Canis lupus familiaris: one gene and its partners. The protein of the gene in region 5 interacts with the protein of the main gene of each other region in a biochemical or structural test. Links are inferred from orthologs where the notes say so. Each region holds a gene or a part of one and is shown on either strand. Other genes may lie near its edges.

Region 1 (4,030 bases), on a different chromosome or scaffold from region 5:
CTGGAGATTTCACCAATCAGATTCTTGGTGCTTAGGCCTTTGTTATAACACTATTTGATTTATAATCACTTTCTCCCAGTTTTTAAAGTCCATTTAGTTCAGCAGTTAATCTTATAGTCATTATACTGTCATGGCTTTGTTTCTTCTCTCTTACTCCACAGAAGCAACACTTAGGCATCCAGTGGGTGCTCCTTAATTATTATAGCTTTTAATGGTTAAAGCTCAGTGCAACATCTTATCAGCAAATCTATAAAATCAGAAACAGGTCATTCCAAAAAAAAAAAAAAAATCTATATCGGCAGCCTATTCCTTTTTTAAAAAAAAATTTTTTTTTTAAATTTTTATTTATTTATGATAGTCACACAGAGAGAAAGAGAGAGAGGCAGAGACACAGGCAGAGGGAGAAGCAGGCTCCACGCACCAGGAGCCCGATGTGGGATTCGATCCCGGGTCTCCAGGATCGCGCCCTGGGCCAAAGGCAGGCGCCAAACCGCTGCGCCACCCAGGGATCCCGGCAGCCTATTCCTTTTAAACATAAGTTCAAGAACCAAAATGGACAGCAAAATACTTTTTATTTAAAAAAAAATTCCAAGCAATTTCTTCAGTTCAAATTTGACATAATTTAAATAAAAGAAACGTGAAAAAATACTAAAGACAAATTAAAGCAAGTAATCAAATAAAATAATGCATTTACTTAGAAAAGAGAATGCTGCTTGCTTTAAATTATTAAACTTACAAATGTACAAAAGGTATACCTAAAATTAAACTAGGACAGAATTAAAGTATCGCTCAAAAATTTCCTTAGTAATTTACATCCTAGCTTCATTCTTCTTTAGAATATAATCAAATACATTTCTGGCCTATTAATGGTCCACCCTGGGGATAAACTATAAAATAAAAACTCAAAAAATGCGTCCTCGGGGATCCCTGGGTGGCGCAGCGGTTTGGCACCTGCCTTTGGCCCAGGGCGTGATCCTGGAGACCCGGGATCGAATCCCACGTCGGGCTCCCGCTGCATGGAGCCTGCTTCTACCTCTGCCTATGTCTCTGCCTCTCTCTCTCTCTGTGACTATCATAAATAAATAAAAATTAAAAAAAAAAAATGCGTCCTCGCTAAAGCCAATGCATCATCTTCTTAAAATTTCTGTTAGTTGGGATGCCTGAGTGGCTCAGCGCTTGAGCGCCTGCCTTTGGCTGAGGGTGTGATCCCGGGTTCCCGGGTTTGAGTCCCACATTAGGCTCCTTGCATGGAGCCTGCTTCTCCCTCTGCCTGTGTCTCTGCCTCTCTCTTTCTGTGTCTCTCATGAATAAGTAAATAAAATCTTTAATAAAATAAAATAAAATGTGTTAGTTATAAAACAAAAGGTGTCTAGGTAATTCAAATTTAGCACCAAGGTATCCTACATAGTTCCGCCACTTCACTGTGAAAGGTTTTGTTCCTAAACGCTCAAGCATTTTCATTTGTCGATTATTCCAAAGGCTGCAGTCCAAGAGTTCTTAAACTGGAGCAGGGAGCCCAAGAACCTTGAACGGTGTGCAAAGTTGTGTGTACGTGCATTTTTACGGAGGGAGAACGCCACAGCTGCCCTGAGATTCTCAAAAAAAAAAACAAAACAAAACAAAAAAGGCTTAAAAACAACAAAAACGTCTCGATTAGGATAACCCAATAGATAATGTGACGAACGGCACAAAGCGGGCATTTTAACCAGGCAACCGCCGTTACACAGGTTTAAAACCCATCCCCTCATCCAACAACCCAGACCCTGGCACTAGCCTTCCGATCAGAATGCCTTCTGGAAAACAATTTGGTTCAGAATGGGGTGAAAGGAGTTCAATCCCGCTCCCCCCACCCCCTACCCGGCGGTCGATCCCCCGCGAACCAGCCCCTGCTGTTCTCGACCCTCCGCCGCGGTCCGAGGGGGGCTGTGCGCGCGGGGAGTGCGGGCGCTCGCGTACCTGGGCGCGGGCTCGATTAGGGTGGTGGTGTCCAGGTAGTGGATCTTGTAGAACTCCAGCAGGGCCGGCAAGTGGTCAAACTCCTGGTCCCCGATCTTAAAACGGCGGTTGGGCAGCGAGTTGATGATGTAGTGGGAGACCCGCGAGTTCTCGGACACCGACAGCACATAATCCCCAGGGCAGGTGGAGGAATCGCGAACTAGGAACATTCCGTGGCGCTGGCCCTGCAGCCGGGTCTGCGCCTCCTGGCGAGACACCGGCCCCATGTACCAGGCGGAGCGGTCTGAGGAGTCGAACCTGGCGGAGGACATGGTGTCTGGCCGGGGCTCTGCGGCGACTCGGGGCGGCGGCTGCTCTCGGCTGTTCTGGACGCCTTCGCCCGACAGACGGCTCTGCGGCCAAGGAAGGGCCTCTTGGCACACCTCGAGGCGCGCTTAGAGGGCCGAGCCAGCACCTTCGTCTCGGCTCCGGGCCCGCAGCATCCTCTGCCGCCGCCCGCCTGCTCCGGGGCCGCCTCACGGACGGAGCCGGCCCGGGGAATGCAGGGCACAGCCCGAGGTCGGGGCGGGCGAAGCTGAGCCGCAGCGGAGGCCGCCCCGGGGTTCTGGGGCTGCCCGGCGTACCGGGGGTGCCTCCAGCCACTCCTGGCCCGGAACGCGCGACTCCGCGCCCCCCACGGCTCTGCACTGATACCCGCCGCCACGCGAAGCACCGGACTCCCAGGAGCGTCGCGCCTCCGGGGCGGTTTCGCCCAGCCCGTTCCCAAGAGCCACAGCAACAAAATGGCGGACGCGGGACAAGCGGCCGGCCACCTCCCCCTCCGCTCAGCGCGCTCGGTCTGCGCACGCGCGAGCTCTGGCTCTCAGCTGCCGCCCAGGCCCGCCCCGTGACGTCGCGCGGCGCGGCCAATCAGGAGCGCGGTCGTGACGGTCGGGGCGTGCGCCGCGCTCCGCCGCTCCCGCGTTCCGGGAGGAGGCGGAGGCGGCCGGGGAAGCGGGGGAGGCGAGGAGGTAGAGGCGGCGGAGGAGGAGGTGGCGGTAACGGCCACTCCCTTCCTGGGCTGCGGTGCGCCGCCGGGGGCGCTGCCGCTGCGGGCTCCCCCCCAGCTCCGGCTGGAAAACAGCTGGAGTCGAGAGGGAGCGGCGTTTCGAAAACCTGCTCCGCGAACAAAGCAGAACGTGCATGCAGAACCTCTGGCCGTGGAGGCGTGGCACTGAGGTGACCTGGCTGGCCCAGGGGCCCCGGGGGACCCGCGCTGAGGGAGACCCGCGGGCGGACACGCCTCGGTGGGTCGAGGTGGCTCTGGAAGGACGCGACCGCGGGGGCTGACGTGACCAAAGCCGAGGTGGCCTGATAGGCTCAGGGACCCAGAGTGGCCGGGAAACTCGACAGCCGCAAAAAGGGGTTGCGAAGGTCGGAGCGACAGGATTGAGTGGCCCGAGGAAGTCCACCTTTTGGTGCAATCTGGCCATCATTAGCGTTTAACTGATGAAATGCGGACTCCCCCGGGTGTGGCCCGAAGATCTCGTCCGGCTCCAGTTCTGCAGCTTCTCGAGCTAATCTCCTCGCATGCCCGCCCCCTGGCTGACCTGCTTCGGCCGGTCGTGGTGGCCTGTTTCTCCACCCTGCCTCCCCTCCCCGCGATGAAATTTTAAGAGATCAGGGATCTTGTCTGTCTTGCTCGCTTCTGGGCCTAGCACAAGGTCTGGACCTGACCTGATGCTCAAATATTTGTTGAATGAATTGACTTTTGAAAAAAAAAAAAAAATCCTCAGGCTATTGGTGCCCGATTATTGGTAGCACCACCCCTAGAACTGGACAAACGAGAAAGCCTGTAAAGAAAGGGAGACGCCGGCTATAACAAACCTATACAGATCCCTTTGTCAGTGGAGTTTCATTTCGGCGCTTGCAGCCCTCAGGTTGAACATACACCTAATTCTAGGGTGATGGGTGATATCCAGCTTAGGGTAAGCTAAAGGGGAAATGTCAAGGGTTAGTGCCTTTTGTGACTCAGCATAAGCAGGTTTTCAATCCCCTCCACCCCAATATTGTCATGTATTATTCTCAGGTTGAA
Region 2 (4,257 bases), about 47 Mb from region 5:
GAGCCTAATTTAAAATAAGATTCACAGGTAATTCTTTTTTTTTTTTTTTTAAGATTTTATTTATTTATTCATGAGAGAGAAAGAGGCAGAGACACAGGCAGAGAGAGAAGCAGGCTCGTAGCAGGGAGCCTGATGTGGGACTCGATCCCAGAACCCCGGGATCACGCCCTGAGCCAAAGGCAGATGCTCAACCTCCTGAGCCACCCAGGCATCCCAGATTCACAGGTAATTCTTAAGCATGCTAAATTTTAAGAATCACTGCTGTACTAGTAGAATGCCTTAACCAGATTTCAAACTTTGCATTCCAGATAATGCACTACAATGTCTTTGCATAAAATAAAAGTAATGCACATTCACTTGGCTCAACTAGGAAAAAGCCAACTTTAACAAATAAAACCAAGGGCTCTCAATAGCCTTTCAGTAGTGCTAGGAAAGTCTTTTGAACTAAGCAAGGAACTATTAATTTCTCTCAGGAGAGCATGGTACATCTCTATTCTGTATTAATTTCTCCAAAATCTATTATTATTTTGTTCTAGGCAACAATCAGAACTGCTGCTGCACAACAGGCAACATAACAGCAATTTCTCAAAAAAACTGCTAAGTACCATCAACTAGTAGTATTTAAAACCCAGCAATCCCTCAAATCTGAATACACTTGCTAAGGGAGTAAACTGCCTCAAGCACTTAAATGCTTGCTTTTAGTATCAAAGAAAGCCAATTACAAGAATTAACTTCGGTTTTTATTTTGGGAATTCAGAAAATTTTGGACAAAGGAAGGAGTAATGAAACAGTTATTTATATCGAAAAAACCCCAAGAACAGTAACAACGATGCCCCATTAGAAGAACCCTGGTAAAGAATCCAATTGCCACAATGGGCAAGTTGTTTTTTTTTTTAAATATTTTATTTTATTTATTCATGAGAGACACAGAGCGAGAGAGAGAGAGAGAGAGAGGCAGAGACACAGGCAGAGGAGAAGCAGGCTCCATGCAGGGAGCCCGATGTGGAACTCGATCCCAGGTCTACCAGGATCACGCCCTGGGCTGCAGGCAGCGCTAAACCGCTGCGCCACCGGGGCTGCCCAATGGGCAAGTTTTAATTCATCAGTGATCTAAAGAAATTCTATTCCCTTAAATATTTAATGTTATCTTAATTCTACTGTAACATAGGTCTAAGGTTGGTTTTCATTTTCTAACACACACCACTCCCACTAAAAGCCGAAAAAGAAGTCCTACAAACCCCAAATTGACCCAATCTTCCTTACTAGTATAAAAGAGACATAGGAAGAAAAGTGTAAGCAGGCACAAAAGCACAATGTTAAAATGAAGAGAACAACTAAAACACAAATAACACAAGCAAGCTACACTTGTGACCTAGTGGCAGTATTGATTACTTACGGATGAATTCAATCCTTTGAGCCTCCCAGTTCCCAGGGGGAGAACTTAAAGTCTCCCAAGGCTCTCTGGCAACTCTTCTGGCTGACTGAAGGAACACAGTGGACGCTTCAAAGTGAAGGATAAAGCAGGAAAAAGGGTATCTTCCCCGGAGAGAAAACGGAATCTTTAAATGAGGGAGAAGACAAACTGCACCAAAGGGCAGAAACCTTGAAAAATTATGCCAAAGAGGGGACAAAAAGGAGGAAGGGGAAGTAGATTAGAAGAAGGGGGGGAGGGATGAGCAAATGACTTGCATTACACAAGCAAACACTTAGTGTCCCCAGTGAAAATGGAGACAAGTAGGTAGAAAGGGAAGGCAACTACTGGAGAAGTATAAAGTGAGAGAGAGAGACAGGAAAGCCAAAGAGATATGCTATCTTCTTTCATGTGTCTTTTGGGCTCTTTTCTGAGTCAACAGTACCAAAAGACACAGGTCGAGTGCACTTCGGCTCCTCTGCAAATCGTACCTTTTGGAAGAACTCCCTAAACGAGCTGTTAACTCACGGGGCGTATATGGAGAGCGATGCAAATGAAAAATACCAGTGCCTTCCTTATCCTCTTGCACAGAAACCTTTCCTCGGAGCATTTCCAACCAACTGCTGCTTATTGTTCTTTACAAGTATTTTTCAGTGTAGTTTCAAAAAAACAAAAACAAAAAAACTAGACATCTCAGCTGGCTCCGGCAGCAAAAGTTCTAAATCACGGTATTCATAGGGTCGGTGGGCTCCCTCCCCAAATTCTGGCCCAAAGACACCGGGAGATGGTGACGTGGTGGCCGTGCAGGTCGCAAGAGCATCAATCACCACACTTGCAGCCGCGGCGAATCCCCCGCCTCCCGGGCCGGGCCGAGTCAGACTGACTCACAGAATGAGTACCCAGGGCTCCCGGGGTTCTCCCGGGCCCCTCTGCGCAAGCCGTCCCCCGAGAAAGCGTGAAACTTAAAGAGGCGCACCCGGCCTCCTGCCCCGAGCTAAGCTAAGGGAAGGACGGTCCCCAGGAAGGAAGCGCCCCAAAAAGGGAAATACGGAGCCCGGGGGACTCCGTTCTCCGCGCCAGGCCTCGTCGCCCCGACCCTGATCCCCAACCCTGGCAGCCCTCGGTAGACCGGGCCCGGTCCTCGCGGGCCACCTCCCGCTGCCGAGCAGGGGAGCAGCAGCACCGGAGCAGCAGCAGCGCCGCCGCCGCCGCCGCCGCCGCCGCCGCCCGTACTCACCGTGGCGCAGCAGCTCCGCTCCGCGCCCGGCCGACCCGTCTGCAGCGGTGCGAGCGGCCGCGGACCGCGCTGCTGCTCCCCGAGGGCAGCGCCTGCTCCCGCCGCCGTCGCCGCTTCAGTCTTCGTCGCAGCCGCCGCCGCCGCCGCCCGCTCGCTCGCTAGCAGCAGCAACACAGCCGCCTGGCTTCCGCTCCTCGTCGGGGTCCCGCGAGAACTTCCCCGCGCGGCCCCGCCCCGTCCCGCCTCGCCCCGCCCCCGCGAGACTTCCCCCGGCGGAAAAGGCCCAGAGCGCACGCGCTCCTCCTCGGCCGGGGCCCCGCAGGTAGCCGCCGTCTAGACGCCAGGGCGCCTGCGCCAGACCGCCCCGGAGCAGGTGGCACCCACGTGGCCCCGCCTCTGGGTCGCTGTAACCCTCTCTGTGCCAAGGAGGGTAGATGACAGCTGAGCCCTGAAGGAGCAACTCTTCATCACAGCCTAATCACTTCCCTTTTCCTGCCATCAAACCGAGGATTTTGCCGGGGGATGTCGGAATCTCCCTCTATCCTGAAGCGCTCCAAATAGAGGACCAGCTTTTGAAATGCTTGAGAATTCGGTCCAAACCGCACTGTTAGACGAATGAACATATTCTTCGCTCATGGGTCTAATCAAGTGCCTGATGTGTGCTAATCCTAGGCATAGGTATAGGTATACAGGTGTTGGGTAAAGAGGTACAATGATGAACAGGTATCTCGGCCCTCGAGGAAATCGAGGAAATCGCGGTCTACAGGAGCCGGAGAGGGAGGCTTGGCTGGCTCAGCGGTTGAGCATCTTTCTTTGGCTCAGGTCGTCATCCTTGAGTCCCTGAACCGAATCCCACATTGGGCTCCCTGCATGGAGCCTGCTTCTCTCTCTGCCTATGTTTCTGCCTCTGTGTGTGAATAATAATGAATAAATGAAATCTTATGAATAATAAATGAATAAATGAATAAATAAAATCTTAAAAAATGAATTGAATAAATCAAATCTTGAATAAATAAAATCTTAAAAATGAATTGAATAAATAAAATCTTGAATAAGTAAAATCTTTTAAAAAATTAGAGGAGCGGAAGAAAACAAAAAAATGCCATATGCAATGTTAGAATTATTTGGGAGAATGCTGAGGAAGCTAAAAAGATGGGAGGGAGAACTGCTACTCTGCCCATCTCAGAATAGCCTCCCAGAGAAGGTGATGATGATGTCTGAGCTGAGTCTTGGAGGACGAGTAGGAGTTCACTAGACGGAGCTGTCGGGGAAAGGCGCTTCGGGCGAAGGGAACCGCATGCCTGTACAAAGGAACGGAGGCGTGAGAGAGAGTCGTGTTCTGTGCGATGCTAAGTTGTTCGATTCCTGTGTGAGGCGGGTGAGAACGGGGGAGCAGCAGATGAGGCTTGAAGAAGTAACTCCTATTTTTCAGTTCCAAAAGCTCTTTCCAATTAAAGAGAACAGAACGTATCTAATGGTAGTGTGCTCCCTGGAAGCCAACAAAATAGTGCTGAGATGAGAATAACCGAACATCTGATTCTATAGAGAAAATAAGCCATTGAAATTAGGAAAATGAGTTGTTCTTTCACCAAGCATTTATTGAGCATCA
Region 3 (3,500 bases), on a different chromosome or scaffold from region 5:
AGCCTGGTCCAGTTCAGAGAATGGTGGTAGCAGAGTTGCTTGTTGGCACTTATGTAAATACGCCCAGCACTAATTTCTTTCAAAGATCGGAGGCCCAAAGATGTTATATTCAAGTTCTTCATGATCAGCAAAGAGAAACCCCGGCTGAGAACAAGGAAACGAGGTAAGAAGGGAGATTACACAGGGGAAAATGACCATGCAGTGGATTCCTTTTCATTTAACCAATGTGCTCTGGGCCAGTCAGACCGGGAAGAGAGATTCCCCTTCCAACTCTCAGCCCTTTGGGCATGCTGAGACAACACGTGTGCTTCACTCAAAGATGCCTAAGAAACAGGGTTCATTGCCTGGAGGTACTACCACCACCACACTCCTAACTACTCACTTGTATAGGCTTCTGCCCCCAATGGTTGTCAGGTTGGAAAAGACACTGAAGTTGTGCATGTGGGGAGGCCAGGACTGGATGTTCAGGTAACCTGACGGGTTGGAGAGAGGCGCGTCAGCGGGGAAGGAGTCTTCCCTTCTTGCCTTCTCAGGTTCTAGTGGCCCCTCTCCCATCACTTGGGACATGACTTTGTAACTAGTTATACACCAATTTGTGTCAGTGGTTCACTCATTTCTCTCAGAAAGGGTAGCAGCCTCTCTTCCCACTCACCTGTGATCTCCCGTACTGTCCGGAAGACATTGAGCTTCTCAGGGTCCAAGGCAGGGATCTTGTGCCAGGGGTCTCTGGAGAGAACAGTCAAAACCAGTCAACAAGATACAGGTACAACCCAGTCACACCTAGCCTCAGAACTTAAGTTTCTTTTTTCTTTCTTTTTTCCTTTTTAAGATTTTATTTATTTATTCATAAGAGACACATAGAGAGAGAGGGGGGCAGAGACACAGGCAGAGGGAGAAGCAGGCTCCCTGCGGGGAGCCCGACGTGAGACTATCCCGGGTCTCCAGGATCACTCCCTGGGCTGAAGGTGGCGCTAAACCACTGAGCCACCCGGGCTGCCCAGAACTTCATTCTAATACCATCCTCCACTAAAAGGAAACAGGGCTCCTTGGAGAAATGAGTAGGGCGGGAGAAATATAACATGAGTTTATAGCATCTTATGCAAAAAAGGAAGTAAGTGCTCAGAGAATGAAGGGTACAAAGAATCTGGGATCTGGCTTGAAGAAGCCCCCAGTGGCCAGAACAGAGACAAATCAACACCAAAATAATAACTGTAAAAGATTATAAAGGACTGAGTGAAATAGGTACCAATCAATCAATCAATGGGAAAGGAAAACTGTTCCTAACACTAAAATGCCGACAAATAAATGCAAAAGGAATAATGGAGTTAAAAAATCATCATGTGGCAACTCTCATCAAAAAATTGATTCAGGGGATGCCTGGGTGGCTCAGCAGTTGGGCCTCTGCCTTTGGCTCAGGGAGTGATCCTGGAGTCCCAGGATGAGACCCACATCGGGCTCCCTGCATGGGGCCTGCTTCTCCCTCTGCCTGTGTCTCTGCCTCTCTCTCTCTGTGTGTCTGATGAATAAATCAATAAATTTTTTTTAAAAATTGATTCAGGGGGCGCCTGAGTGGCTGTTGGCTGAGCATCCAAGTCTTGGTTTTAGCTGGGGTCCTGATCCCAGGGTCATGGGATGGAGCCCCAGGCCAGCTCTGTGCTCAGCGTGGAATCTGCTTGAGATTCTTTCCCCCTTCTTCTCCCTCCCCATGTGCTTCTTCGCCAACTTGCACACCCGCACACGTGCACAAGCGTGCACACGTGTGTGTGTGTGTGTGTATAAATAAAATCTTTCTTAAAGTAAGTTGATTCGGGCAGGGGCACTTGGCTGGCTCAGTAGTGGTGCATGCGACTCGTGGTCTCAGGGTTGAGTTCAAGCCCCACGTTGGGTATAGAGATAACTTAAAGATAAAAATCTTAAGGGGCGCCTGGGTGGCTCAGTCCATTAGGCATTGGACTGATTTCGGCTCAGGTCATGATCTCAGGGTCCTCCACGTGGGGCTGTGCTCCTGACATGGCCCCACTTGGGATTCCCTCTCTCCCTCGCTCTTTTTTAAAGGATTTTTAAAAATTTATTCATGAGAGACACAGAGAGAGAGAGGCAGAGACACAGGCAGAGGGAGAAGCAGGCTCCATGCAGGGAGCCAAGGTGGGACTTGATCCTGAGACTCCAGAATCACGCCCTGGGCCGAAGGCAGGTGCTAAACCGCTGAGCCACCCGGGCGTCCTTCTTCCTCTCTCTCTTACATAAAGGGGTGCCTGGGTGGCTCAGTCAGCTGGCTGTCTGCCTTCACCTCGGGTAACAGTCCCAGGATCCCAGGATCAAGTCTCACATTGGGCTCCCTACTCAGTGGGGGAACCTGCTTTTCCCTCTCCCTCTGTAGCTCCCCCTCCTTGTCTCTATCAAATAAATGGTTAGATAGATAGATAGATGTAATAAAATCTGAAAACAAAAAACAAAAAAAGTAGTAGGAGAACACAATTTCTTTGTCCACTGCCGTGCAGTGAGACAGTTATCAGATTCCTTGGGGGGGGTCTCAAGGGATTCAAGTCCTGGGTGGCAGACAGAGTTAGGAATGGTCAGGTACTGTGTAACCTTTAAAATTTCATGATTTATATTCCTTTTATTTTTTTTATTTTTAATGATTTTTATTTATTTTGAGAGAGAGAGAGAGAGCAAGCAGGGGGAGGAGCAGAGGCAGGGGGAGAGGATCTCAAGGACACTCCACACTAAGCACAGAGCAGGATGCGGGGCTTGATCTCACGACACCTGGATCACGACCTTAGCTGGAACCAAGAGTCAGACGCTTAACCGACTGAGCCACCCAGGTGCCCCTGTGATTCGTATTCCTAATCAGCTGCACATATGAAGGGTTGAGCCAAATGCAATGAACCGTGAGAGGATGGATGGAGTGGGGGTTAGAGAGGGAATGCAGAGTCTAACCCATTGAGGCCAGTGATCAGAAAGTCCAGGTTGCCCAGGATCTTGGTGCAGTTCACAAATCCATCAATGTTGCTCGAGTCCACAGTCTGGAAGCGGCTCCCGGAGCCTGTCCCCTCACAGGCTGCAAACACAAAAGAGGCTCAGTGGGTGGAGCCTGATTGGTCTCTGGGGAAAGGAAGTTCTCTTCACCAGCTCTTCACCATCTCCTACTCACCTTTGGGGCACAGCCCCCCACAAGGTTCACACATCTTGAGTCCATTTTTATCTACTTCCATCTTGTCAGGAGGACAGGCCCGGACACAAGACGTTTGATCGACCACAAAGTTATCTAGGGAGAGGAGGGCACCATGAGAGACAAGAGAGGAACACTGCCAACGAGCAACTGAACCTTGCTCCCTCCTGCTCTGTGCTGGATCTGTCCCAAACCACCACCCAAGGTTCCTTAAACGCTGTCCTATGGCTGAGAAAAGCTCTTTGCTCTTTGTTGCAGAACTAGGAGCAGTTGCTAGAAATCATGGGAAGTAGACAGGACAGTGGGGAGAGGATTCACCGGAGGTGAT
Region 4 (4,299 bases), on a different chromosome or scaffold from region 5:
GATCCCTAGGTGGCGCAGCGGTTTGGCGCCTGCCTTTGGCCTAGGGCGCGATACTGGAGACCCAGGATCAAATCCCACGTCGGGCTCCCGGTGCATGGAGCCTGCTTCTCCCTCTGCCTGTGTCTCTGCCTCTCTCTGTGACTATCATAAATAAATTAAAAAAAAAACCAAACAAGCTTTATGAACTTTAAAGCACTCCACAAATATACAGTAGTAGTGGGGGAAAAATAGATCTAAATAAAGTAGTAGTAGGGGAAAGATTGATCAAACCATAGAACTCCTCTGCTCAAAAACTTTTTTTTTAATTTTATTTATGATAAGCACACAGTGAGAGAGAGAGAGGGGCAGAGACATAGACAGAGGGAGAAGCAGGCTCCATACACCGGGAGCCCGATGTGGGATTCGATCCCAGGTCTCCAGGATCGCGCACCTGGGCCAAAGGCAGGCGCCAAACCGCTGCGCCACCCAGGGATCCCCTCAAAAACTTTCAATGAGGAGTGCCTCAGTGGCTCAGCGTGGAGCCCCTGCCTTTGGCTCCGTTCATGATCTGAGGGTCTGGGATGAGTCCCACATTGGGCTCCCCAGGGAGCCTGCTTCTTCCTCTGCTTCTCCCTCTGCCTCTATGGGTGTCTCTCATGAATAAACAAAATCTTTAAAAAAAAATAAGATTTTTAATGATTTCCTCATTACTTAAAGAATAAAGACTGAAGCTCCACACATGGCCTTAAGCTTCTTCATAACCTGAATGAAATGTTAATTTTCCAGTATCAGCGTCTCTAGGACACTTTTCCTCCTTCATCAGACAATTCTATCGCTTGACCACGTTATTTCCATACCCATAGTGCTCTAAGTCTCCCATCTCCGTTTCTTTGCCCAGGAAACCCCATTAACGCTTTAAAACCGGAGTCACACACAGGTCCAACTTCCCAGTAAACAAGGTTTACTTTCTCAAAATCAGTGTCTCCTGCCCTCGGGAGTCTTCCAAATCTCAAGTACCAAGACTTGACTAATATTTCAGCCATTTTTCTCCCCTTCGTTAGCTGTTTCCAGTTCCATCTCAGCTCTACCACCTCCAGGGGCCTGGAAGGAAAACCCCAGGCTCCGGGAATTTGACGAAATCGGAAGCTCAGACTAAACGTCCAGGTTTAGAAACTAAAGAGGCAAATCGAGAGCAGCTCTCTAGAGCCAGACCTTCCCCCAGCAGGGGTGAGGCGCTAAAGTGGTGTGCGACCCTGTGCCTGCTGGGAGATGGAGTCTCCGACCCACCCCACTACCTCTTGGGAGTTGTAGTCCTTGGTCTGGTAAAAGAGAAGGAAGCGGCGACTCCCAAATTGTGAATTAGTTTTTAGGGGTAAAGGGAAGAGGCAAATGCCTCACATGAGGCAAGACCAAGTTCCTTGGACCCAACTAGGGTTCGCGAGCAGCCGCAGAGCGGGCTAGACCTCCGGGCCGAGGGGGCGGGGAGACGTTACGTTGACGCTGGCGTGACCCAGCCGGAGAATTTGGCGGGATCTCCAAACACTCCCCGGAGGGAGCTCTGCGGTTTGAGACCCAGCCTGAGGAGACTGACGCGCCCTTAGGGGCGTCGTTGGGAGCTGAAGCTCGCTTGGGTTGTGTGCGGAAGGCGGCAAAAAGGGAGTAGAAAATTTGGCAGCAAGGGAGGGAGTCCAGAGCCCGTCCAGAGTCGTGCGCGGACCGGACCCGCGGACAGAAGTCGGAGCGCGCAGCCCGGCAGTGAGGAGCGCTGTGGACCGAGGTGAGCGTGTGAGGCGTAGACTCGGCCCCTCCTGCCTCCCGGTGCGTCCCCGCAGTAGCCGAACCGGGCGGAGCCCGTGCCGCCGGCAGCCGGCTTATGGGCCCCTCTGCGCCAAGTGAGAAACCGGAGTTGGCGGGGCGGAGCAGGGTCATGCCCGGGCCCAACCCACCGTCGGGGCTCGTTGTGGCAAAAACTGAAGTGGTCCCCAGGCTCCAGAGCTAGAAGGAACCTCAGAGGCCTTCATTTTCAACACCCGGTTTGGGGGTGGGGGGGTGGGGGCGGCGGGAAAGCCGAGATCCAGAGAGGTGTTGTGATTTAACGTCACAGCTGTTTCTGTCGGGGCCAGGGTTTCCGGATTTCTGGTTAATCCTCTTTCCATTACACCCTGCTTTGCTTACGGAGTACCAGCTTCCAATTTCCTAAAAGGCGTTTTCATTAGCTAATTCAGGCCGTTCGTGTGATGATGCCTGGGGAATGATCTGTAGTGAAGTGGTTTCTTTTGACTGCTAAAGTGAAGTGTAATATGCGTATGGAAGAATATACAAATCAGAAGTGTATAGTATACGCCTCTGATTTCAAAAAGAATATACCTGTGCAGTCATTACTCAGGTCAATAAATAGAACGTTGTCAGCACCCCAACATCCCCTGTTCTCTCCAAAGGTAACCTCTGTATTGACTTCTGACACCAAAGACTAAATTTGCCTGTGTTTGAGTTTTGTGTAACTGATATTATCTATCTTTAAAAGGTTTTGTTTATTCATTTATTTATGAGAGACGCAGAGGGAGAAGCAGGCTCTTCAGGGAGCCTGCTGCGAGACTCGATCCCAGAAGCTCGGGATCATGACCTGAGCGACAGCAGATGCTCAACCGCTGAGCCACCCAGTTTCCCCATATTATGTATATTTTTGTGTTTGGTTTTGCTCAACATTCTGTCTGTAGATTCGTACTTATTTTTGCATATAGTAATAGTTCTTTTTAGTTTCTGTATTGAATTCCTTATTCATTCTGCCCATGCCCATGGTGGACATTTGGGTTGTTTCTAGTTTCTGAGTTTTTAAATGAGAAAATCTGCAGAGAACATTCCTGCGTATGTTTTGGTACAAACGTGTATGGTTTTCAGTTGGTTAGTAATACAGCGTTGAAATTCCTGGGTCATAGCATTTGTCTATATTCAACTTCCACATTTAATGCCAGTTTTCTTTTTTTAAAGATTTTATTTATTTATTCATGAAAGAGAGTGAAGGGCAGAGACACAGGCAGAGGGAGAAGCAGGCTCCATGCAGGAAGCCCGGTGTGGCATTGGATCCCGACACTCCGCATCCATGCCCTGGGCCAAAGACAGGTGCTAAACCGCTGAGCCACCCAGGCATCCCTACTGCCAGTTTTCTGCTACCAATTTACATTTACACCAGCAGTGTATGAGTGTTTAGTTTTTTCACATGCTTGCCAACACTTGATATTGTCAATCTTTTAAAATTTTATCTGTTTTGGTGGCATATAGTAATACTTCGTGGTTTTAATTTTGATTTTCCTGATAATTAGTCAGGTTGAGCATTGGTTCATCGTTTTTGGCCCATTTGGACATCTTCTATCCTGAAGTACTTGTTCCAATCTCTTGTCTGTTTTTCTATTGAGTTGCCTTTCTCCCTTCCCTTCCCTCTTTCCTTCCCTCTTTCCTTCCCTCTCTCCTTCCCTCTCTCCTTTCCTCTCCTTTCCTTTCCTTTTTTTAAGATTTTATTTATTCATTCATGAGAGAGAGGGAGAGGGAGAAGCAGAAGCAGGCTCCATGCAGGGAGTCCGATGTGGGACTCGATCCTGGGACTGCGGGATCACACCCTGAGCCAAAGGCAGATGCTCAACCGCTGAGCCATCCAAGTGTCCCTATTGGGTTGCCTTTCTTGCTGATTTGAAGTTCTTTATATATTTTAATTATCAGCCCTTAGTTGTATATATGGTAAATATTTTGTCTCCCACCTGTAGTTTGACTTCATTTTCTTAATAGTGTCTTTTGATGGATAGAAGTTTTAAGTTTAAATGTCCGATTTTTCAGTCTTTTTTTTCGTTGTTGCTTTAAGAAAGTTTTATCCCAAAGTCATGAAAACATTCACCTATATTCCAAAAGCTTTGTTTTACCTCTTATATTTAGATCTGTAATCGAATTGGAAACAGATGTTTCTTCTGTATGTGCAGTGTTTTATTTTGTTTTTGTTCTTTTTCTTATTCTGTAAGGCTCTCCCATCAACCTAGCACTTTTTATTGAAAAAAAAAATCCTTTTTCCATTCTCTGTAATTCCATCTTCTTCATAAATTATGAAGGGAGGTGTTTAAATTTTTTTTTTTTTTTAAGATTTTATTTATTCTGGGCAGCCCTGGTGGCTCAGCGGTTTAGTGCCACCTTCAGCCCAGGGCTTGATCCTGTAGACCCTGGATCGAGTCCCACGTCGGGCTGCTTGCATGGAGCCTGCTTCTCCCTCTGCCTGTGTCTCTGCTTCTCTCTCTCTCTCATTCTCTCATTAAAAAAAAAAAAAAAATCTTAAAAAAA
Region 5 (3,500 bases):
GGATGCCTTAGACTCAGTAAAGGCAGGTGATTTTAAATGTTGCTGCCAGACCAGGTGTGAGTGAGCCAGCTGTAAGCAATTGGAAGGGACTGTGCTGGGGCCACAGAGCATATAAATCCCAGTCCTTCCTCGGCCGCCAGAAAACCGAAGCTGGAAGCCAGATAGATGATGGGGACAATCTCCAACTCTCACCACATACATACTCAGCCCCAAGAGGGCAGACCTTGTCCCTGCAGTCAAGGCCAGCAAGCCAGTGCACTTTCAAGTGGGAATGATGGATCACACATTTAAAAAAAAAAAAAATTCTCTGCCTTAACCAGCTTTTTTTTTTTTTTTTTTTTTTAAGATTTTATTTATTCATGAGAGACACACAGAGAGAGAGAGAGAAGCAGAGACACAGGCAGAGGGAGAAGCAGGCTCCCTGCAGGGAGCCTGACCTGGGACTCCAGGATCACACCCCGGGGCTGAAGGCAGCCGCTAAACCCGCTGCGCCACCGGGGCTGCCCCTTAACCAGCTGTATTTGGTTAATTGATCAATTCCTGATCACAATGGGTGCTAGGCTTGCTTTTCAAGCCCATGTAAAATATTCAAGAGACGAGGCCTAACTCATAACTAAGGCTTTTCTGCACTCTAGGAAGTGGCAGTGTTACAGACCCTCTTCCTTGAAATTCTCTTTGCCCTCATGATTCATACAGTGAGATTACCAAACATAATAATGACGTAGTTGGGGATTTACTCTTTTAGCAAAAACAGTTGCCGAAGGTTTACTTCAGTCAGTAGTATAAAAGCTAGTATTGAAAGACCCTAGTTGGGCAGCCCCTGATGTGGAACTTGATCCCCAGACCCAGAATCACGCCCTGAGCCGAAGGCAGACACTCAACCGCTGAGCCACCTGGGCATCCCCAAAGAGATATTTTAAAGAATGCCCATTTCTCAAAGTTCTCCAGTCCTGGTTCAGCCTCATCCCTCAGGTGTCTTAGATGTCTCTAGTGGTTTGTTTTGTTTTGAGGGGAAGTGAATACTGCAGAATCAGATCTATCCCTGTTATTGCCCAAGAAAAGATGTTTGGGGATTCTCTAAATCCATAAAGAGGGAAAATTTTAATTTTTCTCTTATTTTTTTAAAGATGTATTTATTTATTTTAGAGAGAAAGATTTGGCACAAGCCAGGGGAGGGGCAGTGGGAGAGGGAGAGAGAATCTCAGGGAGACTTCCTGCCTAGCACAGAGCCTGTTGCAGGGCTTAATCCCACGACCCTGAGATTGTGACCCGAGCTAAAACCAACTAACTGAGCCACCCAGGCACCCATACATAATTTTCTTACCATTTGGGTTTGGCTTACACATATGGGAAAATTAAAAGTTTCCCCTTATCCCTCCTTTTGTAAAGGTTGGTTTCTTATTATAGTTTCCTTAAATGAGTATTCCAATTTCAATCTAGAATATCCTATGACTGTTAAAAGGACCTACCTGGAGTTCATTTGCTGGCTTAAAAAAACTCTCATGTATATCACAGAAATTCTAGTGAGGTTGAGCATAGTTCAAGAAAAAAAAGAAAAGGAAAAAGATTTCAGGAAAAAATAATGAACTCTCTTTGACCCTGTAGTGAACAATAGCCACATGTACTTTAAGAGAGATTGATCGATGTTCACCTTTTACAATCTACTTATATACAAAACATGAAGGACTTTATAATTACAAAGTGGAAGAAACTTTACTAGTTTTCACAAGGTAAAGGAAATATAAGAAGGCTGTCTTTGAGAGTGTCGAGAGAGCTGGAAGGAAGGGTGGGATGTTATCTTGGGAAGTAAATAGCGAGAGACGCTGTCTATAGCTGGAGAACAAGAAATGAAGCCTGTGCAAGTGTGTTGCTGAAAATGCAAAGGTGATGGTAGAGGTTGGCACAGGAGCTGTGGGGGCAGAGGAGTGGGGTCAAGAGACTCAACTTCTCCTCAGAGAGATGGAGGGTCACCCAAGGCATGCATGGCTGTTGCCTATGGGTGTAGAGAAGAGTGAGGTAGAAGGTGTTTGTCCTTTATCATAAGCCTGTCTGTCTTACTTGATTTTTAAATTATATACACATATTAACTTTAACATGTTTTGAAATGTTTTAAAGAAACTTTTGTTCTCTATTATATGTAAGCAATGGCAAAGATGTATGAGGATGGACTCTTTCTTTCTTTCTTTCTTTCTTTCTTTCTTTCTTTCTTTCTTTCTTTCTTTCTTTTTTTAAGATTTTATTTCTTTATTCATGAGAGACAGGGAGAGAGACAGGGGTAGAGACAGAGGCAGAGGGTGAACCAGGCTCCATGCAAGGAGCCACGTGTTATTTCTTTATTCATGAGAGACAGGGAGAGAGACAGAGGCAGAGGGTGAACCAGGCTCCATGCAAGGAGCCCAACGTGGGACTTGATCCCAGGACTCGAGGATCACGCCCTGGGCTAAAGACAGGTGCTACACCGCTGAGCCACCCAGGGATCCCAGGATAGACTATTTCTATTTTTAACTATTACAATGAGTTCATTTTGAATTAATGAATTTAAAAAGCTGAGGCTATTTGGAAACCGTGATTGCCACTTTGGAATGAAAATATTTCATACTAAAAAAGAAAAGAAAATACTTCATACCTTTCACAGGATTTGGGAAAGGAAGAGTCCATTTTCATTTTACCACCTTTCTTATTAATACAAATTGCATATAGATGTTAAGAAATGAAATAAATCAGGGGCACCTGGGTGGCTCATTGGTTGAGTGTCTACCTTCGGCTCAGGTCATGATCCCGGGGTCCTGGGATCGAATCCCACATCGGGCTCCCCACAGGGAGCCTGCTTTTCCCTCTGTGTCTCTGCCTCTCTTCTCTGTGTCTTTCATGAATAAATAAATTATACCTTTAAAAAAATCCTAAAAAAAAGAGAAATGAAGTAAACCAAAAATGTTTAATGATGGAAACAATTTATGGCTCCTGAGAATAAAACTAATTATTTCCCCCAATGTTTCTTGTTTCTTCTGTTTCCCATTTGTCTTCCAGAAGCCCTTCAGAGGCCAGTAGCATCTGACTTTGAGCCCCAAGGTCTCAGTGAAGCAGCCCGTTGGAACTCCAAGGAAAACCTTCTTGCTGGCCCCAGTGAAAATGACCCCAACCTTTTCGTTGCACTGTACGATTTTGTGGCCAGTGGGGACAATACCCTCAGCATAACTAAAGGTAGGAGAACTATGGACCACTGCTGGTGCTTGCAAGGGACAGATCTGGTGAAACTGTGGCTTGGCTGGCTACCCGTTTTCCTAGTGAAGGATGCAGAGCCAACAATGAAAAAAAAAAAAAAACAGTATCTTTATGAGAGAGCCACTTAAGCAGAAGAGTTCCCGTACGGTAGTTCTTAGGAAAACCAGAGCATGATCGTGAAAAGAACGCCTGGACTAAGCACCAAAAACATTTTTTTTTTTTTTTTTTTTTTTTAAAGAGAAAGTATTTTTTCCTCCAAGAAACTTCCTTATGTTGTT
Region 6 (3,985 bases), on a different chromosome or scaffold from region 5:
GATACCCTGATGTCCTACTCCATACTTCTCAAAGTCATAATTAATTAAACTATGTTTCTATGACTGTCTGGGCCAGGCATTTAACGTATCAGTCATAATTCAAGTGAGAAATATAAGTACTTTTGAGGCAGTCTCTGTACCAAGAAGGAATCCTAGGTTTTAAGAACAAAAAAGGAAGGTTAATTCTACTCGTAGTGGGGTAACAATCAATCCCCTTTACTCCTATTGTTGTTTTTCCTCAAAAGTAAGCCAAGATTTTTGTAAAATGGAAGAGTACTATTTGCATTAAAGAGGGTGTAGCAATTAAAGAGAGCACAAGCATAAAACAGGCAAGTTCTGAGTAGCACAATGTCTTTAACAGGAAAAAAAAAAACAAACCCAGATATATACTGAGGTATATTTTTATCTCCAGCCTATTACTAGGTATAAACAATAATGCCTTTCCTGGCTCTGAGGTTTATTCACAAACAGGAAACCCATCACTTTTTAATTGCCTCCACTTTCACCTACCTTTCCTTTTTAATTGCCTCCACTTTCACCTACCTTTCCACACACTCTCTTCACCAATACAAGTCCAAAATTGGCAATTAAGATTTTTATCAAAAAGTGCCCACCAATAGAATTAGGCATTGCAATTACTTGTATAAAATAATGTACTGCACATTGTCCACATGGTTTTTATATGTAAAGTACCTTTCTTGGGATGGGGCATGTTGTACTTATGTTGTAATACACATTTATTTGCACTATGTAAAACAACAACTGGAGTATAAGAAAAAACACCTTTTAAAATCTACCTTATATTCTCCATGTAATTACAAGTTACTAATAACTGTCTAATCATCAAATCCAAAGATCATACTCTTCTGTCTTATGTCCCTAAGTCCCAAATAAACTAAATTCCCTAAACATAGTTCATCCTACCAAAGTTCTTTTTTTTTAAAGTTCTTATATAGTCATTTATCAGATAACAATTTAGAATTGTGATTTTTAGATCTTAAGTCCCTATCTTTATATAGCTTTGCTATAAACTTGCTTCTTTTAAGAGCATGCATGCACTAAATTAAGTTGAATTAAAATAAAATTTTATAATTGTCTTCAAATAAAACATAATTTTTTCTGTAAAATGCTGACATCATGGATTTTTAAAAATTTCTTCTATTAGTTTTTCTGATTCCACTCAGAGCCGTTTATAGTGGATTATATGTAAAAGTTGGGTTCAAAAGATTCATAAAGTTTATATAAAACATTCATTTATAAGAAAAATGTCTTCATTGGATGACTTTCAAAAGTCATTCACCAAAAGTCATACCGTGCTAGAAAGGTGAGAAAAATTGGACAACATCCCTAGGTTTTATCATTGCTGCAAAGACAGCATCAGTTAATCACTGGCATGATTCTCCCTCTGGGTAGAATGTTTTACGCTTTAACATTAATTTTCCTAAATAAAAGACTTAAGACTCTATCAGTGCATACAAACTTACGTATTTTAAAAATCCACTTCTCATCTTTCTGGACTGACCATTTCTGACTTCAGATGCACTCGATGCAATCAAAATTGTTTTTTAAGTGGTACTCATCAGGAATAATCTCCAAATAGGGTCACCAAATCTTCCATACACAATCTAAAGTAAGTCTCTGTCATAATAAACGCCCCAAATAACACTGGTTTCTAATCATACTGTGTATTTCCACTCATTTCAAAGATTACCGCGAAGAGGAGGAGGAGGGGGGGGAGGAGGAGGGGGGAGGAGGAGGGGGAGAGGGAAGAGGAGGAGGAGGAGGAAGAGGAGGAGGACGGCGAGGAGGACGGGGAGGACGGGGAGGACGGGGAGGGGGAGGAAACTTTTGTCACAGTGTTTATAAACAATTACCACAAACCATTTCCAAAGCTTTCATCATAAATATGCACCCAGGTCATTTTGTGTCAACTAATAATTCATTATGCCAATATTTAATCCTTGTTATTCTTTACTCTAGATTCTTTCATCTCAGACCTACAAGGAGAGATTTACAAGGAAAAATCGAGGGAGCGAGAGGTTTAAGTTCCTCTGCAGGAATGTCTCTGAATCCTAACCATCCCGGCAGGTGCCTTCCGCTAGAGCTGAAAGCTTCGGTATAGGGTTTCCCCGGAAAGAGTCCTACAGGCGGCGGGTCCCATCCGTCCCTAGCCGGGAGGCAGCCCCCGAGGGGCGGGGCCGGAGGTGCACGTGAGGGGCCTGCGAACCGACCCCCGAGTCCGGCGGGGCGGGGCGGGGCGGGGCGGGGCGCGGCGCGGCGCTCGCCGTGGGAACGCGCGCCGCAGCCTCCACCTCGGGAGGCGCAGGCGCGCACGCCGGGGTCCCCGGGGAAGCTGTCCGAGCACGGGCTGGGCGGGGGCTGAGCTCACACACACGTATTCCCCCGGCCCACGGCGGGCACCGGGAAGCGCGCAGCGCGGGCCGAGGGCCGGCGGACACGGCCGTCCCGACACTGACAGTTGACACCGGCCGACACCCTGGGGGCGGGGGCGTCCCTGTCCGCCGAGGCCCGGCGAGGAGGCGCAGAGAGGCTGTACCTGGCAGGTACTCACGTACCTATCATGGTCACTAGGCAGGTGGAGGCTGCTGGGCACGCAGGGGGCTACGCCCGCACCGGCGCCCGCCCGCGCCTCCCACAAATGTGGCTCCGGGGTTAAATCTTCCAGCACCTGCCTCCCTGGGGCCGGCTGTCGGAATGCGCACGCGCGGACGACGCGCAGCCAGGGGCCTTCTGGGAGTCGTAGTTTGACAGCGTAGTTTCTCCCATCGCGCCGCCCCCTCCCCGCCCGCCGTCGGCCTGCCGTGGGCCTTCCGCCCGCCGCCGCCCGCCTTCCGCCCGCCGCCTTCCGCCGCCTCTCCGCATTCAGGCCCAGCAAGCGTGCTACGTCACGGGGGGACTGGGCCACGGGGCCGCAGTGTTGACGCGTCGCTTAGCAACCGGGAGGCTTACCTTTGGAAGCTTCTTAGGGCTCTCGCCACGGTCCTTCCCTCCTCCCGCCCCTCCCCTCCGTCAACTCCCCTCACCTAGGAGCTGCCAAACATCTGGATCAACCTGGGCACTACGAGGGGTTGAATTTCTACCAGTAACGCGCCTTTTTACATTTTTTCCCCCCCGAACTCCTTCTCACATGCGTAAAACCCACTGATTCTTTTACTACACGTTTTATGAGAACGAGACATTTTCTAGGAAGATGGTGGCAGAAAAAGAGACCCTGAGCTTAAACAAATGCCCAGACAAGATGCCGAAGAGGACCAAGCTGCTGGCGCAACAGCCGCTCCCGGTGCACCAGCCTCACTCCCTGGTTTCTGAGGGCTTCACAGTCAAAGCCATGATGAAAAACTCAGTCGTAAGTGACCCTGCATTGAATATGCACTCGCTCCGATCAGGGGACAGCAGGCGATAGCTGCTGGCCGGCCTGGGATGGATCCTGAATCCGTGTCCTGGGGGGTCTGCGGCACCGAGGGGGGCGCCTCTGCAGACGGCGCCCAGCAGGGTGAGGAGGTCCTGGCTGGGGTGTCAGGAAGGATCCTGGGCACGTGAGGCACTCTTACCCACTGACAAGCACCTTCCTCCTAACTCATGGTTTCTAGACCACGCCAAGGTACTCTTAAAACTATTGACACGATTTTTTTTTTTAAAGAGCCTCTTTACGTATCGATTCCTAATCGAGCCCCACTCAGCAAAGGTCATTCTAGAAGGCGAGTTCTTAGAGATCATAAGCTCTTGCAGAATTTGACATGTGCTGATGTACACCTGGAACCATAAACTCGTTAAATCGTCTACAGTTAGGAACTCTCATCAGTTCAAACGAAGGAATTTTAGAGCATCCCTGCGTTGACCCTAACAAGCCTCTTTCTTACAAAATAATATCAGCTTGTTAGAGTTCGGATAGGCAATGTAACAGGAAGGTCTATTTCCAGACCTTTTGAATGATGATAAGTTTTAAACAGTCCAAGCCTTAAGT
Region 7 (4,278 bases), on a different chromosome or scaffold from region 5:
TGATTTTTTTCCCAAGCAAGAGAAGAAAAAATAAAAACAGGTCCTTTCCCATTATAATTATTTTAATAAATATCTTAGATCTATACAACAGAATCCTCCCTCCACCCATATCTTTATTCTGTTCACATAGAGCAGTAAATAAGGTGCATTCCTTCTGCTTAAGAAATTAGCATTTCAAAAATATGCCACTTTCCCCTGAACTCCAAGCGTGTCTAATAATGCGAGAAGCAGATTGTCTTCCCTCGTTTCCTTAATTTGTTTCATCTAAAAGCAATTCACTCAACATCTTGTCGCCCTCTGGCAGCTTAGTTTACTTATCCGCACTTAATTTCTCATTTGGACCAAAACAAACTCCTCCAAACTGCTACTGACTGCTAACCGCGAGAGGGGAGACACGCAGTATGTATTTACTTGGGAACAGACAGCCCCACGGACACAGACACAGACACACACAGCCTCACTCACACTCCACACAGTAACTTGGTTTCGTGAAAGCACTGTATTAAAACCAGCTGAACTTTCCCTGCCAGGTGCGGCAGGGGTGGTGGGGGCGGGGGGGGGGGGGTGAGGAGGGGAATAGGGTGAAGAAAGAAGTCCCCAGGGGCATTTACAGTTCCCAGTGGATCACCTTAGCATGCGTGTTGCAATTGTACCAGGGATGCACCGAGAGCTTTTCTTTGTGCGGCCCTTTCATCTGGATCACTCTGTGTTTTGAACAAGTGAGGCTCGCCTTTGTGCCCCTAGAATTTCAAGTGCAGAGTCACACACAGAACAACAATGGCACGCTAATCCCCGCGCTCTACAGGGGCTCACTTGTGGGTCTGACCATTCGCGGGGGGAAGCGAGAAGAGACCAGCGAGGGCGCGAGGCGGTGTCGCCGGAGACGAGGAAGGGGACAGCTGCAGAACTAATTTGGATTGCATTCTTTGCAGAAATTCTGAAAAGGGCTTTTCGGCATAGCTCACCCCTGAGCCACACAGTTAATACCGAGTTGCTGCGCACTCGGAGCCGGGTCCCCCAGCGGCCGAGGCTGCACCGACAGCCCCCAGTGGGCTGCCTCGGACTCGGAGAAATCCCTCTCGCCTAAGTCTGCGTGTCGGTCGCACACGCTTTTGAATGGGTCAATGTGCATAATCGACCCATTGAGGGAAAATACGAAGGGACTCGGAGTGCGGAGGGAGGAGGTAAAAGGCACGTATCTAAGAGGCCGCCTGGAATCCGCGGTCGGGGCTGGTGCGGTTCCGGCGGCGGCTGAGCGCGCGACCCGGTGCGCATGAAGGACTCCCGAGGATCGGGAGGGTGCAAACGGCGAGCACCAACGGCGCACGCTGGTGCCACTCGAAGGTCATTCTGAAAGGCTCGGCGCCTGCGACTTGTTATTTACTAGGCTAGGAGGGAAGGCGGCAGCGGCGGGGGCGGAGCGCGGAAGGCGGCGCGCGGCTCCCGGTGAGGTCAGGGGGACGCCCTCCGGGGGCCCGACGCGGCCCGAGCCCCGCTCCCGGGCGCTCCCGGGGGGCTTCACCCTCCCAGCTGCCTCCCACGCTCCCGCCACCAGCCCGGGGTGGCTCCGGAGATCCCCCCCGCTCTGCAAAAGGCCCCCTTTGGCGGCATCAGACCCACCGGCCTCCGTCCTTTCCCGCCCCGCTTTCATCCCCAGGAAACTCAAGTGTCAAAAACTTTGAGCAGCCTCGCCCTGCAGGTGCCGTGCGTGGCCCTGGCCGCCGCGGACGCCAGCCCACCCCGGGCCTCGGGGGCGGTCGGCCTGGGCCCGTCCAGGTGCCCGGGCTCGCGCCTTCTCGCAGGCGGTGGCGGTGGCGGTGGCGGAGGCGGAGGCGGTGGCGGCGCCGTCGCTCCCGCCTCGGGGTGGACCGGGTCGCGCCCCGGGTCGGCTCGGCAGCCGCGCCGGGCAGTAAACAGCGAAGTTGGAGGGACTCGGGCCAATAGAAGTTGAACTACAGGAAGAACTCTTCCCGGAGCCAAGCCGGGCGACGACGGCAGGGCCGGGCTCCCGCTCAGGGTGTCAAACCCCTTCCCTGCCCCCCCCCTTTTCTTTAGAGAGAGCCCGCGGGCCAGCGAGCTCCGTCGAGTCGGCGGCGCGCAGGCTGGCGGCCGCCCCAGCGGGGAGGGACCCGCGGCCGCACAGGTGCGCCGCCCGCCGGCTCGGGGACAGCCCCTGCGGAGCCCCGCGCGCCGGTGCCAGGCGTTCGCTCTCGGGGCGCCCGCACGGCGGGACCGTCCAACTCGGGAGCCTCGGGAGCCGCGTGTCCCGCGGCCCGCACAACCGGCAGGACCCGCAGAGATCCCGCTTTTAGGCTCCCCCGAAAACGCGGGAGAAAGAAAGAAAGAAAGAAAGAAGGGGGTCGGGGAGAAAGGAAGGGGGGAAAAGGGAGGGGGGACAGGGTCGCAGAGTGACATTTCACGGTAAGTGAAACGCAGGTACACGAAAAAGGCTAAGTTTGGGGACGGACAGACGGAGGGAGGAAGGGAAGCCAAGCCCGAGGAGGAGGAGGCCGGAGGGGCGCGGGGGGCGCGGGGGGCGCGGAGCCCCGGACACCCACCTGACTGGGAGGCGTTGGGCTGGACGGTCCCCGCTGCCAGCAGAAGGCTCACCCAGACCCACGGTCCTGCCGCCAGCTTCATTTTCTGCAAGTCTCAGATCCCGAGCTGACAATTACATGTCCAAATGGCATCTCCCCTGTCGGGCACGCGGAGGAGGGCCCCGAGTCCGGCGCGCCCGGGGCGCGGTGCACCGGCTCCCAGCTGGAGCCGCCGAGGGCGAGTGCGCGTGCGAGTCCGAGTCCGAGTCCGAGTCCGAGTCCGAGTCGGCGGGGCCGGGGCCGGGGTGCGGGGGCGCGGGGAGCCGGGGCCGGGGCCGGGGCCGGGGCCCGAGGAGGGGCGTGCGCGCCGGTGTGCGCGGGGCCGTGCGCCCGAGGGTGTGCGCGTGCCGCTCGGGGCCGGACTGGGCAGCGCTTCCCCCGTGCGAGCCTCCGCGTCCTCGCTCCCTCCTCACTTTCTCGCACTGGTTGGTCAACAATAAAAAGGAAGGGGGGAAAAGGCTTTCCAAAAAAAGTTGATTGCAAAGAGGCGGTAGGTTTCCGGCCTCTCCCCGCAGCCGGGCTATGTTGGGCTCCCTTTTCAGTTTCCTTGCACCTCCAGTCCCAACTGGGAGGGGATGGGAGGACGAGGGCGGGGGGGGGGGGGGGGGCGAGGGGAGGGCGCTTCTCGCTTCTCCCCCGATCCTGTCCTTCTTTTTCCCGTCAGCTTTCCTCACACTTGTCCGGCGGCTGCGGTAATTAAAGCTCCGAGCGTCATTTCCAACGCTCCGCGGTCTCCAGCTGCAGCCCCACCGAGAAATTAATAAGACTCCGGGAGGGGGGAAAAAAAAAAAAAAAAAGGTGGAGGGGGGGCGGATAAAACAAGCCTCCACGCAACCGGGCTGGCTCGGCTCAGCCGCGAGCCCCGCCCCCGCTCTGACCCAACTGGCCCCGCCTTTTTCCCCGCCCCCCACCCCCCAGAGGGGAATCTTATTGGCTCGTACTCTCCCCAAAATCCTCAGTCTCAGGAGTTGGGAAAACACCTGTCTGGGAGCGGGCGCGTGCTGCGGGGGGCGGGGGAGCTGGATTTAAAGGGCTCGCCCGACCCAGCCGACCGACGCCGAGGCCCTAGACAGCGGCTTGCGAGCGCGGAGACCACCGCAGGGTTGCTCACAGATTTTTTTTTTTTTTCTTTTCCTTAAACCAGAAAGTCCCCGTTTTCTCTACTGCCCCACACACAGTGCTCATCCACAGACTGGAGCTGGAAATAGAAGAAAAGAAAACGTTGCTTCGGGCATAAAGCCTTCACCCTTCTCCAACCTCTAATGCTGCTGCACACTCAGAAAGTAGTTAAAAAGGTGGTTCGGGAGCTGGGAGGCTCTGCCGGTTAGGTGGTCCTGGGAACACAATCACCCGTTTTTCCAACTATGCCATCCCTCCCACAATTCCCACCCTGCCGAACTGACGGCATTTATATAGCTACAGCCTTTGCTTTTCAGACCTCGTAAGTCTTTTTTCACCTTTTCCTTGGACTTGGGACAACTTTGTATGGGGTTCATTCTCATTAAACAGATTCTCGTCCAAAGGTATAAATGTGGTTCTAAAGGGCTAGAAACTCTCTCACTCCGCAGCTGTTACTGTGAAAGAACTTAAGGCCATACCAGGACATGGCCAACACAAATGATTATTAGGCTTATGCTACAGTAGACCCAACTTTAGGTACCTTCTGCGAGTCCACACTCCC

Evidence for each region.
Region 1: the proteins of ABL1 (region 5) and CRKL form a complex in vitro, tested with the Homo sapiens proteins (4 studies listed by BioGRID and IntAct, with this or other methods). The link is inferred for Canis lupus familiaris from reciprocal best matches to the Homo sapiens genes ABL1 and CRKL.
Region 2: the proteins of ABL1 (region 5) and GRB2 form a complex in vitro, tested with the Homo sapiens proteins (3 studies listed by BioGRID). The link is inferred for Canis lupus familiaris from reciprocal best matches to the Homo sapiens genes ABL1 and GRB2.
Region 3: the proteins of ABL1 (region 5) and ERBB3 form a complex in vitro, tested with the Homo sapiens proteins (2 studies listed by BioGRID and IntAct, with this or other methods). The link is inferred for Canis lupus familiaris from reciprocal best matches to the Homo sapiens genes ABL1 and ERBB3.
Region 4: the proteins of ABL1 (region 5) and RAD51 form a complex in vitro, tested with the Homo sapiens proteins (2 studies listed by BioGRID). The link is inferred for Canis lupus familiaris from reciprocal best matches to the Homo sapiens genes ABL1 and RAD51.
Region 6: the proteins of ABL1 (region 5) and PRKN form a complex in vitro, tested with the Homo sapiens proteins (2 studies listed by BioGRID, with this or other methods). The link is inferred for Canis lupus familiaris from reciprocal best matches to the Homo sapiens genes ABL1 and PRKN.
Region 7: the proteins of ABL1 (region 5) and ERBB4 form a complex in vitro, tested with the Homo sapiens proteins (2 studies listed by BioGRID and IntAct, with this or other methods). The link is inferred for Canis lupus familiaris from reciprocal best matches to the Homo sapiens genes ABL1 and ERBB4.

What each region holds. Positions count from the first base shown.
Region 1 is NC_049247.1:30,747,035-30,751,064, forward strand, and holds the start of CRKL (crk-like protein), read right to left. Parts: upstream 2,801-4,030; 5' UTR 2,268-2,800; coding exon 1,957-2,267; intron 1-1,956. UniProt on the Homo sapiens protein: May mediate the transduction of intracellular signals.
Region 2 is NC_049230.1:5,987,133-5,991,389, reverse strand, and holds the start of GRB2 (growth factor receptor-bound protein 2), read right to left. Parts: upstream 2,801-4,257; 5' UTR 2,649-2,800; intron 1-2,648. UniProt on the Homo sapiens protein: Non-enzymatic adapter protein that plays a pivotal role in precisely regulated signaling cascades from cell surface receptors to cellular responses, including signaling transduction and gene expression.
Region 3 is NC_049231.1:764,852-768,351, reverse strand, and holds part of ERBB3 (receptor tyrosine-protein kinase erbB-3), read right to left. Parts: intron 3,269-3,500; coding exon 3,155-3,268; intron 3,062-3,154; coding exon 2,941-3,061; intron 727-2,940; coding exon 653-726; intron 474-652; coding exon 383-473; intron 145-382; coding exon 1-144. UniProt on the Homo sapiens protein: Tyrosine-protein kinase that plays an essential role as cell surface receptor for neuregulins.
Region 4 is NC_049251.1:8,126,752-8,131,050, forward strand, and holds the start of RAD51 (DNA repair protein RAD51 homolog 1), read left to right. Parts: upstream 1-1,499; 5' UTR 1,500-1,756; intron 1,757-4,299.
Region 5 is NC_049230.1:53,242,157-53,245,656, reverse strand, and holds part of ABL1 (tyrosine-protein kinase ABL1), read left to right. Parts: intron 1-3,027; coding exon 3,028-3,201; intron 3,202-3,500. UniProt on the Homo sapiens protein: Non-receptor tyrosine-protein kinase that plays a role in many key processes linked to cell growth and survival such as cytoskeleton remodeling in response to extracellular stimuli, cell motility and adhesion, receptor endocytosis, autophagy, DNA damage response and apoptosis.
Region 6 is NC_049222.1:51,748,775-51,752,759, forward strand, and holds the start of PRKN (E3 ubiquitin-protein ligase parkin), read right to left. Parts: upstream 2,801-3,985; 5' UTR 2,584-2,800; coding exon 2,577-2,583; intron 1-2,576. Other genes in the region: PACRG (parkin coregulated gene protein), read left to right, coding at 3,212-3,367. UniProt on the Homo sapiens protein: Functions within a multiprotein E3 ubiquitin ligase complex, catalyzing the covalent attachment of ubiquitin moieties onto substrate proteins. Substrates include SYT11 and VDAC1.
Region 7 is NC_049258.1:19,996,463-20,000,740, forward strand, and holds the start of ERBB4 (receptor tyrosine-protein kinase erbB-4), read right to left. Parts: upstream 2,801-4,278; 5' UTR 2,641-2,800; coding exon 2,559-2,640; intron 1-2,558. UniProt on the Homo sapiens protein: Tyrosine-protein kinase that plays an essential role as cell surface receptor for neuregulins and EGF family members and regulates development of the heart, the central nervous system and the mammary gland, gene transcription, cell proliferation, differentiation, migration and apoptosis.